Linked DNA regions of Arabidopsis thaliana. The protein of the gene in region 4 interacts with the protein of the main gene of each other region in a biochemical or structural test. Each region holds a gene or a part of one and is shown on either strand. Other genes may lie near its edges. The genes, in order: ATMPK8, MPK2, MPK7 and MYB42.

Evidence for each region.
Region 1: of the proteins of MYB42 (region 4) and ATMPK8, one has a biochemical effect on the other in vitro, tested with the Arabidopsis thaliana proteins (one large-scale study listed by BioGRID).
Region 2: of the proteins of MYB42 (region 4) and MPK2, one has a biochemical effect on the other in vitro, tested with the Arabidopsis thaliana proteins (one large-scale study listed by BioGRID).
Region 3: of the proteins of MYB42 (region 4) and MPK7, one has a biochemical effect on the other in vitro, tested with the Arabidopsis thaliana proteins (one large-scale study listed by BioGRID).

The regions. Positions count from the first base shown.
Region 1 is NC_003070.9:6,243,661-6,249,658, forward strand, and holds ATMPK8 (Protein kinase superfamily protein), read right to left. Parts: upstream 4,153-5,998; 5' UTR 4,006-4,152; exon of another isoform or gene 3,932-4,005; 5' UTR 3,923-3,931; coding exon 3,656-3,922; intron 3,429-3,655; coding exon 3,026-3,428; intron 2,934-3,025; coding exon 2,806-2,933; intron 2,704-2,805; coding exon 2,644-2,703; intron 2,486-2,643; coding exon 2,336-2,485; intron 2,224-2,335; coding exon 2,068-2,223; intron 1,977-2,067; coding exon 1,839-1,976; intron 1,725-1,838; coding exon 1,651-1,724; intron 1,564-1,650; coding exon 1,447-1,563; intron 1,357-1,446; coding exon 1,158-1,356; intron 1,059-1,157; coding exon 981-1,058; 3' UTR 638-980; downstream 1-637. Other genes in the region: AT1G18160 (Protein kinase superfamily protein), read left to right, coding at 5,466-5,954. UniProt on the Arabidopsis thaliana protein: MKK3-MPK8 and CAMs-MPK8 modules negatively regulates ROS accumulation through controlling expression of the RBOHD gene during wounding.
Region 2 is NC_003070.9:21,882,226-21,886,603, forward strand, and holds MPK2 (mitogen-activated protein kinase homolog 2), read left to right. Parts: upstream 1-1,792; 5' UTR 1,793-1,982; intron 1,983-2,284; 5' UTR 2,285-2,295; coding exon 2,296-2,718; intron 2,719-2,810; coding exon 2,811-3,518; 3' UTR 3,519-3,826; downstream 3,827-4,378. Other genes in the region: ZCF61 (E3 Ubiquitin ligase family protein), read left to right, coding at 14-109, 186-326, 415-480, 556-668, 755-886, 973-1,016, 1,124-1,202, 1,305-1,407.
Region 3 is NC_003071.7:7,907,217-7,911,832, forward strand, and holds MPK7 (MAP kinase 7), read right to left. Parts: upstream 2,825-4,616; 5' UTR 2,501-2,824; intron 2,166-2,500; 5' UTR 2,159-2,165; coding exon 1,736-2,158; intron 1,646-1,735; coding exon 962-1,645; 3' UTR 558-961; downstream 1-557. Other genes in the region: AT2G18180 (Sec14p-like phosphatidylinositol transfer family protein), read right to left, coding at 3,838-3,963, 4,055-4,455, 4,552-4,612. UniProt on the Arabidopsis thaliana protein: MKK3-MPK7 module acts as a positive regulator of PR1 gene expression.
Region 4 is NC_003075.7:7,322,919-7,327,494, forward strand, and holds MYB42 (myb domain protein 42), read left to right. Parts: upstream 1-1,837; 5' UTR 1,838-1,993; coding exon 1,994-2,256; intron 2,257-3,120; coding exon 3,121-3,718; 3' UTR 3,719-3,949; downstream 3,950-4,576.

The DNA.
Region 1 (5,998 bases), on a different chromosome or scaffold from region 4:
TCTTCGGACATTTTAACTTCCAATTTTATTAGTCAAGAGTTTTGTGACAATCTTCCTTTACGATCCTATAGTTTACATGAAACCAACTTTTTCTTTAATTTATATTTGTAGTGGTCATAATTTGAAGTCAAATTCCAAAGTTTGGCGGCATGATCCATTAGTATAATGTTAGTTTTTTTTCACTTTTAAACATGCACAAATTCAATTAGTATTTCTACTAAATAATGTAAAAACAGTGTAGCCTAATTGCTTTAACCAATCTGGCGTCTGTGGACTTTGTTCGCCATATATACATCAACTTTTTGCAGTTTCTTTTTCTTATCGAGACTGTAGTTTGGAGTTGGTGAGTAAGCTCCCTGGAGCTCACTTTACTCGACCATACCATTATTTCTGACCTCTTTTTCAAAAACCCGATTTTGTTCATTTTTTTTCTTCTTCTTTTTGTCGTTTTATTTATTTTATTTTGTCGTTATGAGATTAGTCCAAGAATGGTATCAATTCAGATGGACCATGGAATATAAATAATAGATATTAGGTTAGTCTTCGTCATTAAAAAGCCAACTAACACAGCATTATTATTATGTGTGCTAATTTTTTAGTCTTATCTTTTTTACTTTTAAGAAGTCGAGTATGTTCTTCAGGTTAATATAATTTATTATATAAGACCCAATATCCCGGTTTGACCTGGACCGGATCATACCAATCACACAAACTCTCCCAAAGTACTGAAGCAAAGTGAATACTGAATAGTATATAAATAATTTCAAAATATGAGTGTTTAAAGAAAAGAGAGAAACAAAAAAATTACATGGAGATCGATGTTTTTATTTAAAGTTTCATCAAACCCCCAAAACTATTAAATACAACAAATCAAACCCAACCACGAAGATAGATGTGGATGAATGGAGAAACCAATTTCTTTTCACCAGAAAACTTTCGTGAAAAAAGAAAAGAAAAGAAAAAAAATAACTAAATCATTTTTAAGAATTGTGAAGAGAAGCAACTTTATCAGTAAGCTCTGCAACTGTTTCATTATCTTCTTCCTCAGCTATGGTATCCTGCAAACAAAGAGAAAAGAACAACAGTAAGCAAACTTCATCGTCATGTTCCTTTTCAAGATCTTCTGTTTTTCTTTCTTTCTTTCTTTACTAACTAACCTCTTTGTCAGTTTTAGATTGGACACCAATGCATTTAGAACCGCTGATGCTTGCACTCTTCATGAGGTTACGAGCACTGTAACCTCCTCCATTGTCTGCTTCCTCGGATTCCAAGGTTGAAGCCACAGCAGCTGCTGCTCTTCTCTCAACATCACTGCTTTCTTCTGCAGTTTCACCATTTGGAGCAGGAACTCTCTCTCTGCAACATCATCATAGAGAAGCACAATGCTCTCAGAGGGAGATTGAGAAGAGAAGAGAAGAGATAGAGAGATTCTGTGAAAGACATTACCTTGGCAAGGAAGCATGATGTCTGTGAAGTGCAGTACTTCTTCCTCCTCCTGCTGCTCCTGGTTTACCTTGATTTTCTTCAAGATGAGCAAATTGCCTTTTAAATCGGTCTACCCCACTGCGCGTAAACAACAAAAAGATTTATCGAGTTCATAACTTTCTGTTTTCAAGACTTATAGTTTCTGTTAACTGTTAATTAGCTAACCTTGGGTACATAAAGCTAAGCTGATCACCACCACGAAGGTATTCCTCCAACATCTGAGGATGATATTCCAATATCTGATATTTACAAAATCCAAAGAAAAGTGATTGTTAGGATCAATGAATAACATTGAAACAAATTCAGATTAAAGAAAAGGATATATGTAGAAGGCTTTTGTGTTTGTTTGTTACCTCTCGGTAAATTAATTCTCTGACATCATCTTTAACTAACTTCTTTCTCTCAAAGTCAAATTCAAGCTTTGAAATTGGCTGTGTTGTTGGTTCACGCTCTGAATTTGACAAACCACTGAAATATGGATCAGCTAGTGCCTGTAATATGAAAATCAAAAACGACGAATATAAGAGTTTCGTTCTGTATAAAACAAAAGGGAAAAGTAAAGCAAATTTACTTCTCACTTACATCTTCAGCTGATGCACGATCTTTCGGATCAAAGGCAAGCAGGCGTTCCAGAAGGCGGAGAGCCAAAGGATCAGCTTTAGGGAATTTATGAGAGAAAGGGACTGGTTGTTTTTTCCTCATGCTGCTAAGATATCTCCTCGCCTTTTCATTTCTAATCTGTAGAAGTCCAAGATTGCAAAGCTCATTACAAGGATTAAATTACTCTCAATGATGTATGGAACATTAAATTTGCTACAGAAAATATGAACAAGTGTTTTGAGTGACTAACCCTTGATATTGACTCAGGAGGTGGAGTACCAAGAAAGTCAGTCATTAGATCCAATTGGTGCACAACGTTTTTCCCGGGAAACAAAGGCTTACCCAAAAGCATTTCCGCAAAAATGCAACCGACACTCCAGATATCAATCGCAGGGGTATACTGAAATATAACAAGAGTAGACTTAGCTTGAGATGGCTGGTCTTCTCAACAACACTATAGAACCACACAACAATATTCTACAAAATAGAAAACTAGAAGCATTTTCCTGGTAGGGAGAAATAGCAAGAGTAGTTGGGTTTGGTGAAAAAGAATCTTACTTTGGAGAAAAACGATCCACAGAGTTCAGGGGCACGATACCACCGAGTAGCTACATAATCCTACAAAATCCATATAAACGAAATGAGCTCACAAGCATTTGAAAATAGTTAAGAGGAAGCCTAATGAACAGTTTTGCTTTCACATTGAGTTAGATGACTCACAGTCCAAAATATAGCGGTTGGGGCATCGTTAAAAGAAACGCGAGCCAGCCCAAAATCACAGATCTTCAATTTGCAATCAGCATTAGCTAGAATGTTCTTCGGTTTCAAATCCCGATGAAACACATTAGCTGAAAACAGAGAACCCTTAAGTGTTTCAATATTATCTATAACAAAAATCATGAGGATCGAAAGAGACCAATGTGTAAAACCAGAAACTAACCTGCGTGAACATATTTCAGACCACGAAGAAGCTGGTACAAGAAAAACTGATAATGCTCAGGAGTCAAATCATCATTCGCCTTGATCACTTGATGAAGATCAGATTCCATCAACTCAAAGACAACATAAATATCGCGGAATTCTCTGCGAGAAGGAGGTAACATGATGTGTTTAATCTCCACAACATCAGGATGACGAAGCAACCGAAGCAATTTGATCTCTCTGAGAATCCTAGTAGCATCGGAGACATGCTCAAACACATCGTTGATCTTCTTGATCGCAACTCTCTCTCCAGTGTGTGAGTCAACAGCAGAAGCCACAACACCATAACTTCCTTTGCCAACAACCTCTTGAATCTGATACCTGTTAGCTTCTCCATACTCCGTGAAGAATTCAGTTTCACCCTGAAGAATTTTATTCATGATTCATACTTAAAATTGACCAAAATGATGGATCAAGACAATAAGATCAATCAAACGAAACACAAAACTGAAACTTTATCCTTTTGTGGAAGCAAATGCAATAACACAGAACATTAAGAGAACAAAACAAGTCTCTTCAATCTCAATCAAAAGACAACATCTAAGAGCAAATAGCATAAAAGGGTAGAGAAGGAGAAGAAGAAAGGTACCTTCTTGTGAGGATCCATAGGTAAATGATTACGTTTAGGAACGTTAATAAGCGTTAGACCAGAGAAATCGAGATCTTCTTCAATAATAAGCTCTCCAGAGTTAGCGGAATGATTGGGGTTAGAGGAAGAAGAGAAAGAAGAAGAATTGAAAATGGGTTGTTCGTGATTATTATTATTATTGTTGGAAGAAGAAGAAGAAGAAGAAGAAGAAGGTCGCTGAAAAAGCCATCGACGAACACCGTCGACGAGATTCCCACCACCACCCATAGACCACTACTAGATTAGAAAAGAAAAAGATTAGTAATTTACAAAATTGGGTATCCGAAATTCCTTGAGAGCCAAACAATTACCGTCAAGTCACCGTCTTTCTCGCCGCGTCTCTCGGTTTTGTCCTTCGGAGTTGGAGACCATGTTCTTCTCCTATTTTTTCATTTTTTTTTTAATTTTCTTTTTATGTTTTTTTCATTATTTATGCTCAGATATTTATTTTTTTCCCCTGCTTGATTATTAGAGAGAGTGAGTGGAGGGAGAAGAACAAAATATTTAAACCTTTGGAATATTTCGACGACCCGGTTTGTCTATACCGGTTAATGATAACCTGATTCGGGCATATGCATTTATTGAGTATATGGGCCTACAAAGCGGCCCATACAATAAATGTATTTTCGTTCAATCACTAAACGGATTAAACTCAACCGGACAAGGTTCGAAATTAAGAAGATGTTAGATGTTACATTACAAACCGGAATTAAAAGTCTAATTATGAATCTGAGACACAAAAAAAGAGAGAGTAAAAACGCCTTGCTCGTTCGGTCGCGTTGATGATATGAACATATATTTCATCATGAGCTGAGCAGGTCCAGGAGTCTGTTGCGGTTCGAGCACATCATAGTTATTGGGTCATAAATGAATCCGACAGTAGCGTAATCTAAGCATTTTTTAGTGAATAATACGCTTGATGATATATGTGATATGTCATGGGAGGATAATGCATAAGGTGGTGAGCGAAGCATTTTTTCAGCCAAAAAGACAAAATTTTATTTGAATAAATGATATCAAACAAATCCAGATACGCGAAGGAATATTGAATATGGAAAGCACGATCGTAAACAATTCTGCGATTTATCATTTCTTATTTTTTTTAACAAAATGTACGGTTTTGCATGATATATTTGCATTAAAAATGAATTGGTAAGTTTTTAAATAGCTCTATATTTGCATTAAGCTTTGACTGATTGTACAAAAAATAGAGTAATTTTTTAATTACAGTAGCAAAAAAAAGCAAAACAAAATTCAATTCTCTCCAGCTCAAAAATCCACTCTTCATCCTCTACTATACTCGTATCTATCTATCTACTCTACTCTGTTTTACGTAAGTTTTTTTTAGTTGATTTTCTTTTGTCGGACTTTAAGAGAGAGAAAGTGGCGTCTTTGTGGACTTTCTCAATTCAGGAGAGAGTCAAAGAGAAGGAAGAGGCTTCGCTTACTTGCTGAGAAAAAAGCTCCAAACTTTCTCTTATTGGGTTTTTGATCAGCTCCGGAGATAAAAAAAAAAAGTATTTTCTTGAAATCGAAATCTGATCTCCATTGAGAGTCTTGCTACTTGATTTGGATTCCGATTTAAGGTTTTCTCGAGAATTCTTTTGCTGCAGTTATTAGATTTTGACGAGCCGTTGATCTGGACGGAGTTCCAGATCTCCGGGTCGTGGTACCAAGGAATTAGGGTTTTAGCACAAAGTTCTCGTTTTTCTGTGTATTCGAGGGATGAAGGAGTTTTCGGGTCGATGTTCGCTGCTCTAACATTTGGAGTATGAAGATGAACATGAAGAAATTTCTCAAAAAGCTTCGTATCACGCCCAATCAACGAGACGATGGTGAAGGTTCAGTCTCTAACAGAAGCAATAAGTCTAGTGATGCAGAACCATCTCCTTCTGATTCATTGAGGTCTCAAGATAACTCTGAATTCAAACCCTTTTTGGGTTTATCAAATTGGTTAAGCTCTGTTACTCACAGGAAAAGCCCTTCTTCTTCCAATGCCACCAATAGCAAAGAGGATGACACTACCATGGAACATGGTGGTCCCGTTGGGTCGGAATCTGGGATGCAGGGTTTGGGTTCTAGTAGTAATTCCAAGGATCCAGAAGTTGAAGAAGAATATCAGATACAGTTGGCTCTAGAGTTAAGTGCTAGGGAGGATCCTGAAGCTGCTCAGATTGAGGCTATGAAGCAGTTCAGCTTAGGTTCTCGTCCTTCTGCTCCCGAGAATACTCCAGCTGAACTCATGGCATATAGATATTGGGTGAGTTTTTAACTCATTGCTAGACATAGAAACAAATTTCCAAT
Region 2 (4,378 bases), on a different chromosome or scaffold from region 4:
CGATTTTTTTCAGGCAGAACAACAGGTTTTGAGACGTAATTGGAGATTTTCATGGGTTCGAAATAGTACATTGATGCAGCCGATGACTAAGGAAGTCCCCTGGTATCTGGTATGTCTGTTGGACTTTGATTGGAGTGTATTACTTTCTAAAGTCATTTACAAAATATGATATTGGTTGCCTATAGGACGACGGGACAGGTCGTGTGAATGTAGATGTATCTCAAGGTGAATTAGGCTTGGCGTTGACGGTTGGTAGTGATGTATTTGAAAAGGCAGAGCCGGTATCGCTTGTTCAAGGAGCGTTGGGTTATCTTAAAGGCTTTAAGGTCTTTTCTTTTCCTTTCCTACCACTTTTCATTGATTTGCTTTTGTTTTGACAATGCTTATACATTGTGGCACCATTGTTGTCTATAGATACTTGGAGTAAGACACGTTGAGCGTGTTGTCCCAATTGGTACACCGCTTACAGTTGTTGGTGAGGTATGTCTTTTATCTGTTAGCGGTCCAAAATACGTTTTATATCTCTCTTTGTTATGTTGCTTACCATGTTAACAGGCTGTTAGGGATGGCATGGGGAATGTCAGGATTCAAAAACCTGAGCAAGGACCTTTCTACGTCACTTATATACCGCTAGATCAGCTCATCTCTAAATTGGGAGATTTGTCAAGGTTGTTTCTTTTCTCTGTTTTTGCCTATTCTTTTCTTCGAAAACTATGATTGAAAAAAATTCTAAAAGATCTCTTTCTTTTGGCAGGAGGTTCAAGTATGCCTCCATGGGTTTAACTGTTCTTGGTGTGATTCTTATTTCAAAGCCTGTGATTGAATATATTCTAAAGAGAATTGAAGATACTCTAGAAAGAAGGCGGCGACAATTCGCACTGAAAAGGTATGACGCACCCTAACCACAGCCACGTATGAAGTATTCATTGCGAGTTGCGAGTTGCGAGTTAAGTGTTGGGTAACTTGTTGCAGAGTTGTTGATGCAGCTGCTAGGAGAGCCAAACCAGTAACTGGAGGTAGTAATAGTATCTATCCATTAGAGTTTGTACTTTGTAGTAGTAACATGTGAATCCTTTTTCTGCATACACTTGGAATTGCTCTGCTTACAAAAACGTCTTACCAGGTGGTACAAGCAGAGATGGTGATACACCTGATCTCTGTGTGGTTTGCCTTGACCAGAAGTATAACACCGCTTTTGTTGAGTAAGTATAAGACCGCTTTTCTTCTAAAAGCTCTTGAAAACCCTCTCACTGATCAAACATGGCATCTTTTGATTCCTCTTTTTGTTTGGTTTGGACTTGTAGGTGTGGTCATATGTGCTGCTGCACACCATGCTCCTTGCAACTAAGGACCTGTCCTCTTTGCCGGGAACGAATACAACAAGTTTTGAAAATTTACCGCCATTGAAGGACAAAACTCAGAACGATTTTTACAAGCGAACAATTACTAGTCTTGTACATATAGTAAAGCCTTTGTATCATGAGTTTTTGACTAGAAATTTTTTTGCATTGATAGATTGTGATTGAACAAATGCTAATATAAATTTCAAGCTTAGATTTACATTTACTAATGAAGTTATATAATCACGTTTCGATGTTAAAATAAGAAGTGAAAAAACGTGAACGGCAGGATTCGAACCTGCGCGGGCAAAGCCCACATGATTTCTAGTCATGCCCGATAACCACTCCGGCACGTCCACTTTTTGTTAATTCCTCACTATCTTAAATATCTAATTACCGTTAATTATTACAAATCAGGTTGGGCTTAATTAAGCCCAAAGTTAAAGACAGATTAGTGAAGGAGACAGAGAAAGAAACAGCTCTAAAATGGTAATGAACGAGAAACTAGAGAGTCAACGGTCATAGCGTTGACCAAATCTCTCACTCTCACCAGCCAAATCTCTCCAACTTCCTCTTTCTCTCCACCCAAATCTCGCCGGCGATCGTCACTGACGAATCTGATTCGTCCCCAACACTCAACGGGTAAGCTCTCTCTGCAAAATTCAGATCGTTCTAGCTCAATCTCAACATCGGATCAAGATTCAACTTTTGTTCTTTTCTCTTAAACAAAGCTTTTGATCATTAGTGAAATCTAAAATATTAACCTTTGAATCTGTAAACTTAAGCTTAGAGAACCCTAAGATCAAAACTAAAAATTTGATCTTTCATTGTCACTTGTTGGAAGCAATTCAAAATTCTGTGTTGTGTATATTTTCAAATTTGTGGATTGTTCCAATTTCGATAAAGTTTTGATTTTTATTCCTTTTGTTGTGTGTTTTTATAAGGAGGTAGAAGAATGGCGACTCCTGTTGATCCACCTAATGGAATTAGGAATCAAGGGAAGCATTACTTCTCAATGTGGCAAACACTTTTCGAGATCGATACCAAATACGTGCCTATCAAACCGATAGGCCGAGGCGCGTACGGTGTGGTTTGCTCTTCGGTTAACAGAGAGAGTAATGAGAGAGTGGCGATCAAGAAGATCCACAATGTGTTTGAGAATAGGATTGATGCGTTGAGGACTCTTAGGGAGCTCAAGCTTCTACGTCATCTTCGACATGAGAATGTGGTTGCTCTTAAAGATGTAATGATGGCTAATCATAAGAGAAGCTTTAAGGATGTTTATCTTGTTTATGAGCTTATGGATACTGATCTTCATCAGATTATTAAGTCTTCTCAAGTTCTAAGTAATGACCATTGCCAATACTTCTTGTTCCAGGTATGTGATTTGTTTGCATTTGCTTTTACCATTAGTGTGTGTTGTTTGCATTTGGTGTTTGCATTTACTTGCTTTTTATTTCTTTTGCATAGTTGCTTCGAGGGCTCAAGTATATTCATTCAGCAAACATTCTCCATCGGGATCTGAAACCCGGTAACCTCCTTGTGAATGCAAACTGCGACTTAAAGATATGTGACTTTGGGCTAGCGAGGACGAGCAACACCAAAGGTCAGTTCATGACTGAATATGTTGTGACTAGATGGTACCGAGCACCAGAGCTACTCCTCTGTTGTGACAACTATGGAACCTCCATTGATGTCTGGTCAGTCGGTTGCATATTCGCCGAGCTTCTTGGAAGAAAACCAGTATTCCCGGGAACAGAATGTCTAAACCAGATTAAACTCATCATTAACATTTTGGGTAGCCAGAGAGAGGAAGATCTCGAGTTTATAGATAACCCAAAAGCCAAAAGATACATAGAATCACTCCCTTACTCACCAGGGATATCATTCTCTCGTCTTTACCCGGGTGCAAATGTTTTAGCCATTGATCTGCTTCAGAAAATGCTCGTTCTTGACCCTTCGAAAAGGATTAGTGTCACGGAAGCGCTTCAACATCCTTACATGGCGCCTTTATATGACCCGAGTGCAAATCCTCCTGCTCAAGTTCCTATTGATCTCGATGTAGATGAAGACGAGGATTTGGGAGCAGAGATGATAAGAGAATTAATGTGGAAGGAAATGATTCATTATCATCCAGAAGCTGCTACCATAAACAACAATGAGGTCTCTGAGTTTTGAGATCAAGTCTTTTGCAGGTACTGTTCAGAGAGATCTTTCAACAACTTAAACTTATTTATTTTCATGTTTGCTTCTTGAAATGTTGTTAATAATAGTGTCGAAGAAGAAGAACAATAACTTTAAATTATGTGATATGTTTGTGTCATGGAGCTTTGTTTTGTTTTTGGTTACAAGCTTAAGTGTCTGTAACGTTTGTACATAAGTGTATGTGTCCTTAAAACTTCATACTCTGTCTCTGATCTTATTGTTGGTGATTTTTCTTATTGAAGATTTTCGAATGTTCAAAGAGCAAACCATTGGATTAAATATGATTTTGAAGATAAATGTATTAACACAAAGATATACACTGTTTAAAAAAATTCATGAAATAAAACATATGCATAGAATATCAAAATAAAATTATTTGGGAAATAATTTTCAATGATACATAGAATGTTCCATAGATTCGTAGAATTTTTATAAATGTGTTTTTGACTTTCATGTACCTAATTCTGAATTCAGACTTAGTATATTGTGACATTAATAGAAGTATTAATTGCTTTGTTTGATAAAAATATTTTGATGTCTATCACACACTTAAATTTAACTTAAATGATAGAAAAAATGTCAATAATTAGTAACATTTATGCTTTGGAAAAATATTTTGATGAACAGCGTGTGAATAAGAATCTTTTTTTACTTTTGTAAATGGAAAAATGTAGGACTGCACTAATTATTGAAACCATTGATGTGAAAAAAAAATCAAGAGCCAAAGAGATAAAGATTCTAGAAGACCAAGTCAAGTCTTCTCGTCGATTAATAGTCAATGAATGTTCCTCATCATCATCTCTTTGATTTATGCGTTTGATGTCATTGAGTCA
Region 3 (4,616 bases), on a different chromosome or scaffold from region 4:
AGTAAACAATATTAAAAAGGGTGAACATATTTTAATCATATTTCTCTTTTCTCTTCTCAACATAACTTAAACTTTTATTGTTCCTTAAAAGACCACGTCAGCATAATTCACTACACTTCTGTTTTCTTCACGCGCCTTAAACATGAATGAAAGAGTTGGGTGAAGGAGTGTGTGGTGAAAGAGTGTGTTGTCATTACACACACCTCATGTGTTACTCTCTGAATTCGGCAACTTATGGTGCTAGATATTTAATTTCTTTTCAGGAATTGGTTATTTAGCTAATTCACCTTTGAAATAAATACACTTATAAAATAAAGTATTTTTAAAACACACTAGTCTTCATATTGGAACTGAAAAAAATAGCACACTTCCTTAGATCATTATTTATAAGATTACTAATATATTCTGAAATTGTTTTGGTAGTACTAAAAAGAACGAAAAATATGAAGTGACACATTATCCAATCTTCCCTTATAATGAATTGAAAACATGTTTGGCGGCTTTTTAAAGGTAGGATAAAAACTAGAGAAAATAACATCTATACTTTTATTAGTTTATACTTTATAGTATGAGAGTATCTAAACTATAAAAAATTATTTCGTGTGGCTAGCAAGTGGGCAATGGCAAAGCTATACAAAATACAAGAGTTGGCCTGAAAATCAGTAGTAAAACTCATCAACTCAAAGATAATGTAACAAAAACAAGCCTTAACTTACTTAGTAACAAACAGTCACATTTACAAAGTGGTAAAGATACTGAGAGCCACTTTTCAAACTCTGTTACTACTACTCACTCACTGCAACTAAATCAAACCAGACGAGATCAAAGCACCGGGCTTTTTATCGATCTGTTCCCGCGTTTGTGGACTCGCTATATATAACATAACATCAAAGCTGCATTTTAGAAAGCAAAAAAAAAAAAAACTGGAAAAAGCTTACTCTTAATGATCATTGATGTTGATTTAGGCATTTGAGATTTCAGCTTCAGGGTGGTAATAAAGCATCTCATTCCACATCATCTCTCTTATCACTGGTTCCTCCATGTTTTCATCTATGTCCAGAGAGATTGGGACATGTGCAGGCGGATTGGATCCAGGATCAAACAACCCCGCCATATACGGGTGTAAGAGCGCATCGGTTACAGAGATTCTCTTGGTTGGATCAAACACAAGCATCCTCTGTAACAAATCTATAGCTAGAGGATTGGCTTGTGGATAAAGATTGGAGAGATGAGTTCCTCTTGAGTACGGAAGAGACTTTATAAACCTTCGAGCTTTCGGGTTGTCTATGAACCGAATATCAGATTCTTGTTGGCTACCAACAACGTTGATGATTAGCTTAAGCTGATTCAAGCATTCTGTTCCTGGAAAAATCGGTTTCCTACCAAGAATCTCCGCGAATATGCAACCAACCGACCATACATCAATGGAGGTTCCATAGTTATCACAACAAAGAAGAAGCTCAGGTGCTCTGTACCAACGTGTAACCACATACTCAGTCATGAACTGTTCATTACCTTGGCTCGTTCTCGCCAACCCGAAATCACAAATCTTGAGATCGCAGTTCGCATTAACTAAGAGGTTCCCGGGCTTCAAATCCCGGTGAAGTATGTTTGCAGAATGAAGATACTTCAACCCTCTAAGCAACTAAACACAACAACAAGAACAAGACTTATTTCAATAACTAAACATACAAAACTCGAAACATAGAGTTACCGAGGAAGGACTTAAAGTTACCTGAAACAAGAAGTACTTGCAGTGATCATCAGAAAGAGACTGAGAGGATTTAATAATCTGATGAAGATCAGTATCCATTAGCTCATAAACCAAATAAACATCCTTGAAACTGGATCTATTAGCAGGCAACATAACATCTTTAAGCGCGATCACATTCTCATGCCTCACATGCCTAAGAAGTTTAAGTTCCCTCAACGTTCTCAAAGCATCAACACGATTCTCAAACACATTGTGAATCTTTTTAATAGCAACTCTCTCATTAGTCTCACGATTGATAGAAGAACAAACCACACCATAAGCTCCTCTTCCAATGGGTTTAATCGGAACATACTTTGTATCGATTTCGAACAATGTTTGCCACATGGAGTAGTAATGTTTCCCTTGTTGCTTAATCCCATTTGGTGGCTCAACTAACATCGCCATTTTCTCTCTGCAAAAACCAAAACTTTCAGTATTTTTCCCCTAAATTGGTAAGATTTTGGAAAAGGGTTTATAGAGAATTTTCGATTTATGAATCATTGAAGCTTTTTTCTCCTTTACGTCTCCAAAAAGTGAAATTCAACTAAGAAAAATTCTCTTTTTAATATCGTTTCCTTTACTTAGCTATCAATCTTACTACTCCATAAGAAAAAAGCAAACTTTGGTTATAAAAATTCTCTTTTTAATATGATAACTCTTGATTAATCATAATCAAAACTCAAAAATTAAGAGTTAAAACAAGCTAAATGAATAAAGAGAAGAAACAGAACAAGAGATCGAACATACCCAATAACTGAATTTACAGAACCCGAGTCGTTGTTGTTGTTGTTAATGATCAGAGATGAAAGAAGAGAAGGGTATGATTGGATCTGAATTGAGATTGCTTCTTCATAGCTAAAACAAGAAGAGATAAGAGAGAGAAGAGTTAGGAAGTGGTGAGACCCATACGGGGAATGGAATGTTAGGGGAAGAGGAAGAAGAAGAAGAAGAAAGGAAGCAAAATACGTTGGTTGATGAAGAAGCTTTGGTTACTTCTTTTCGTTTTTTAGGAAAAAAACAAATTACAAAGTCTTCTAATTACGAAAACGACATTCTTTTTAGATTAGATATTTTTTGTGTAACAAAACTTCAGTTACAAACTATCTTTAATTAAAAAATCTCTAAAGTTTAATGGACTCTTCATGTTTTTTTTTTGCATACAAATCAGGATTGTTATTACTATATTTGGTAATTAGAAAAAAATAATGCATAGGAATTTTTGTAATTAATTAAAAAGATTGAGTAAGATATTTATTAAGTAGAATTTGTCTTGGTATAATATACGTACACGAATACAGAAATTGAGGATTTAAATGGATCAAGTAACCGGCTAAGCACGTGGGTGGACTGAAAAAGTGACACGTGGTAAACGTAGATTGGGAGCAACTTCTTGTTGTTGTCCGAACCGAAGTTTCCACTGGGTGTAGTTAAACCTAACTTAAAAGCCTCAAAAAGTGGTCAACTACAAAACCACTCTTGGTTTGAAGACCTTCTGTCTCTTTCGGAGAGGTTTGAGGATTAGATTAAAAAAAGGATAAGTGTGGCTGATGGATTTAACATCAGATGATGACATAACTAATTTGAGTGGCAAATGGTTGAGTAAACCTATCAGTTGACGAACGCAGATTATCAATCAACTTTGAGTTTCTCCATAGATCTTCGAAGATTCTGTCTCTCCAAACCATCAAGCCCCAATTCATCTTCAACCCTAGTAATTTAGTTTATATAAAGTGTACTTGAATTTTATACGTTGATGTTAAAAATGTTTGCACACTAATCTTTTGTACAAAACTACTTTACAAAATATATTTCTTATAAATTCATTGTTTTCTTTTGTACAAATCAAACATGATCTCGCATATGATGCGGATAAGTGGTAACATCTAAGGATGATATATATATACAGAGACATAACAAAATTCTTTCTTTGGAGATTCTCTTAATTTTAATGTGACTGTAAGATTTAAGTTAATGACATGAGTGCATTGGCCACCTCTAACTCCACTAGAGGCTTCTTCTTCCTCATGTTCCTCACTTACCAAGTGAACTGCACATGGAGATAAAAAGTAAAACAGAACACCATTTTAAACACCAAAACAAAAATTAGTTAAGTAGGCATTGATTTGAAAGCGGACCAGCTTCTTCTTCTTCTTCTTTCTCTCAACGTATGCCACAAGGTCCTCTTGTCGGGTAAGAGAATCATCAAGAGCCTGTGAAGATACAACAACTCTTTAGTGTGAGATAGTGAAAGCTGAGAACAAATCAGTAATATATATGAAAGTTTTTTTTGTTTTGTGTTACCTTCTTGGTTGCAGCAAGTTCTTGTTCCAAGAAATCGGCTCGGCTAATGGCAGCATTAAGCATCTCTTCCTTTTCAGGAGGCATAGTTGCTGGCTGTGCACTCAAGTTTGTGACTTTCTGCTCAAGCTCAGCCATTCGTTTCATGACCGCCATGAAATCTTCCCCTGAGATGGTTGTTGTTGCCATTTTCTTCCCATGCATCGAGCTCTTGTTCATCGAGTTTTCGTCGCAGTAAACCGGGCTAGAGTATATAGTTGACTCGGTTAGCTTCCTTGGAACGTTTTTAGTCACTCTAATCATGGTGACTACACCCATTACAAAAGCCATGACTCCAGTGAAAATAGGAGACCTTCCACTTTCATTTGTAGCTTTGCAAGCTTCTTGAATGGCGTAAACATCCCCTGTTCAAAAACAGAGAAGTACTTAAATTCAAGTTCTTTTAAAAAGGAGTAGTATTTGTCTCTTTAGTAGTGTAATTTGCACATGATCTCTTATACTTTTTGAGAGGGAAAATTTGTGAGCTTCTGGTATGTTCCAAGCTGGATGAGCAACCACGACCTGA
Region 4 (4,576 bases):
TTTATTCTAAGAAAGAATCGAATTTAGATATGGGAGTTTCACCCTTCGCCAGAGTTTTCTCTAAACAAAACGTTGTACTTCTTCTAACACAGACTAATCACGCATGTTTTTACAATATTATAAAAAAATGAATTAATTTGGGAAAAGCCCTCTACAGCTAAACTTACAAGTCAGTCACCCATGAAGTGGGAAAGTTTTACAACATAAATTAGATTTAGTTCTGTATACGTACGTGTCAAATAGGTGTTCGTCTTTATAATTTTTCCGTATAGACAACATGCAAAGATATATTACTATAACTCTATAAGATAGCTTATTTGTTAATTAGCCACACGTGTATAAACGTACGACTACGAACAAAAATGTTTACTTACTTTTTGCGGTATTGTCCACGGCAATGCCTAAACTAAGACAACTTCATAACCTTTGACGATGTTAGATTTCGAACACTAATTGTATATTGTTTTTATCGAAAAATCTTTACTATAATAAGTTTTTGTATCAGTAGCAACTAGCAAGTGTCTTTTGTATGTTATTGTGTGTTCAGCTAATTTTAGGATCAACTGTTTTAATAATAAAATATTCCTTTCCAAAGCATTAGGATTTACAAAATTTACCATTCAATCAATGGTTTACACTAAGTCTGAATCACATGCTAAATATATATGCATACCTTCCTATATTTGTTTCATCAAAACATATTCTAATTGAATTTAAACTTTCATTTTGGTGTTAAAGTTCTACTGGTCGTACGCGTGTACATTCGCAGGTATGTACCCTATCATTTCACATTAGTTCAAAAGTCATTTTCAGTTTTCACCAACCAATTAATCAAGGTTTTCCAACACTCCTCAGTTTTCGTAAAATGATATTAATTAAACAACTATAATTAAAATCCATAACAATGATTTATTTTAGACAAAAACATTAACTTTTTTTCTTCACCAAAATGATTTGATCATAAGAAATCGTATATATATCGAGAAAGAAACATTTCTATCGACATTAACAATTCTGTGAAGTATATATATATACGATTTCTAGTTTATCCTCCAAAATGTTTTAATCATCTCACCATCACAAGTTAGTTTATGCACGCATGTGATGTATAAATATTTTATACGTGAAAATGAACCATGCATATATATTATTGTTAGGTATACTGTATACATAGAATATTGATCATCATAAGAAAGGTACAAATTTAATTTCTTGGAAATTGTTGAAATTTCCCCATCACACATACCATATTAATTACCATGTATTTATTTTTTAAAACTATACGTATTCTGGATAATTACTTTTATATATGTATTCAGGTTGTTAATTCAAGTAAATCAAATAACATGTGATGCGTATACCTTAGACGTCGTATATTTCTGTATAGTTACTTTATACCAAAAGCCTATATAATTTATGAACCTAAAGCCTAAAGAATGTTTGCAATAATCTGGCTAATACTCACCATACTTAAATATTTAGATCGTATTTCGTTCTTCTGTACTCTATACACATTTTGTTGGAAGGAAGAATTTTTATTATTACTAAGATCGAACCAAATATTTATATTTTAGCATCTGATATATAATATAATCATGAAAATATTTGATCTAATCATATTATAAAATATTCAATTAACTGCAATCTATGCAATTATAATGATTACTTCCCACGAACAATAATGATTGAATTAAAGAAGATGATTTTAACAATAAATTCCTAACAAAACATATAGCGTCATTAACTATTTGGTTTCACTACTCACCTAAGTGGGTCAAATGAGATACTAATTTTCTAACTAAAATAAAAAATATGTGGTGAATGATGTAAGAAATACTTGGGTTATATATAGGTGGGTGAGCTTAGGTGCTTATAGGCTTTTGACAGAAATCTTCTAATTGGTATATACTTTCTACTTTCAAAATATTTAAGGTCTCATCTCTCTCTCTCAAATTAACACACAAAACATATATAAACAGTCAAATATAAATTAATGGGAAGGCAGCCATGTTGTGACAAGCTCATGGTGAAGAAGGGGCCGTGGACGGCGGAGGAAGACAAGAAACTGATAAACTTTATCTTGACCAACGGCCACTGTTGCTGGAGGGCTTTGCCGAAGCTGGCCGGTCTCCGTCGCTGTGGGAAGAGCTGCCGTCTACGGTGGACCAATTATCTCCGACCTGACTTGAAGAGAGGTCTTCTCTCCGACGCCGAGGAACAGCTTGTCATCGACCTTCATGCTCTTCTCGGCAACAGGTTTGAGCTTGTTTTAACCTTGTATTTCGTTTATATGTAATTGATCATTTGTTATATATTTTTACTACACATTATTAAACATGCATTAACTAAGCCGAATTTGTTAGTAATCTTTTTTTTAACAACAACATGAATTACGGATATAAATCCAAATATCGACAGCACGAGGATATTATCATAAACAACAAGGCTATATTCCAAAAAACAATTTTCGGTAGGAATGTTAAGTACTATATGCCAAATTTCACCAATATATTGTATCATATGCATGTTGTTAGCTAATTATGTATTTACCAAAAATGGTTAATCTTCTACATATAATCATATGATTGTCATCATTATAGTCATATAACCCGAGGTTAAATAACGTTCACCTATACTTATATACAAATAATAATAAAAATTAGTCAATTCTAAGATGTTACTTTTTGTGAAACACAGTAAAAAAACTATTAACATATATGTTGACTAATGATAAATGCTGTAGAAAATGTATTTGTGATGTACAATTGAAAATTAATCCATAATATTTTAATATAAGATAATGTATGGATCATTTGAGACTGAATAGTTTTATAAGAAAACGATATATCTTAATTCAGTTTCCTTTCTTTGAATTAAAGTCTTCTAAATATTTGTATAAAAAAGTTGTACATCTTATTTCAACTTCGAGACAAAGTAACGTTCCTCGTTTCCAAATAGAATATCATAGCGTATATATATTGTCAACTTTCTTGTGTTAGATTCCAAGACACAAGACTTTGACATCTCCACCAACACCTAGCTCAAATCATTATTTTTCAAAGGTAAACATATTCAATGTAACTAAACATATTTCTTAAAATTCTTTTTATGTATATATAGATGGTCCAAGATCGCTGCAAGATTACCAGGAAGAACAGACAACGAAATAAAAAATCATTGGAATACTCATATCAAGAAGAAGCTCCTTAAGATGGAAATCGATCCTTCGACCCATCAACCTTTAAACAAAGTATTTACCGATACAAACTTAGTCGATAAATCTGAAACTTCATCGAAAGCCGACAATGTAAATGATAATAAAATCGTAGAGATCGATGGGACAACGACAAATACAATAGATGATAGCATTATCACTCATCAAAATAGTTCAAATGATGATTATGAATTACTTGGTGATATAATTCATAATTATGGAGATTTATTTAATATTCTATGGACCAACGATGAACCTCCTCTAGTCGATGATGCATCATGGAGCAATCATAACGTTGGTATTGGAGGAACAGCTGCAGTTGCAGCCTCAGACAAGAACAACACTGCTGCCGAGGAAGATTTCCCGGAAAGATCATTTGAAAAACAGAACGGCGAAAGTTGGATGTTCTTGGATTATTGCCAAGAATTTGGTGTTGAAGATTTTGGGTTCGAGTGTTACCATGGTTTTGGTCAAAGCTCCATGAAGACGGGTCACAAGGACTAGCATTTGCAAGAATACATAACATATATACCGATATACTACATAATATGTGTATATAATTTATACGTACGCATCATAAAAGTAATGTAAGAAAAATCATGTAAAGCAGTAAAGAAGCACCATGGTTTTTTCAAAGTCTAATATTAGGGGAACAGAAAAAGGATCACTAGGAGTTATAGTAAGAGTTATTGACTTATTTCCCTATCTTTTATGTCTGTTTCCTGCATTTATTTCAAATTATAATTAGTTCAACCCAACAGTTTTTTCGCCTTGATTTTAAATTCTGTTTTGTATAAATTTAATAATTTATGCTAGGATATCCTTCATTAAATTGATTAAAAATATTGGTAGTCAAATTTTTCTATGTTGATCAGGATTGATTTTTAGAGTAAGTCCATGATTTATTAAATCAACCGGAAAATACAGAGCTTTTTTTTAATTTGTAAAATCGTTGTAAAAAATAATTTTGTTGAATTTGGTGTTCCCCAATAAATTAAAGATGAATTTGGTGTTCCCCAAAATATATAACTATTTGATGATAATTAATTTCAGCGACTTTGATAAAATTTATCTGTGAATTTGAATGATCTCATGATAAAAGTTTACCAAAATTCTAAATTTACAAAACCATCTGGACAACTAAGCTTCTTGTTTATATCTGTTTTATCATTGGCCAGATAATAACACACAAATATGAATTGAGAAAGTAATAAATATATTGCCAGTTTTTTTTTTTTGAAGCTATCATTTTACGTGGATACAAAAAAGACTTGGTGTGTATATTATTATCATTAAATAATAAAAAATCGATATTGAAATTTATTATTTATGTGAAAGAGTTCAAAAATGGACATCTCTACA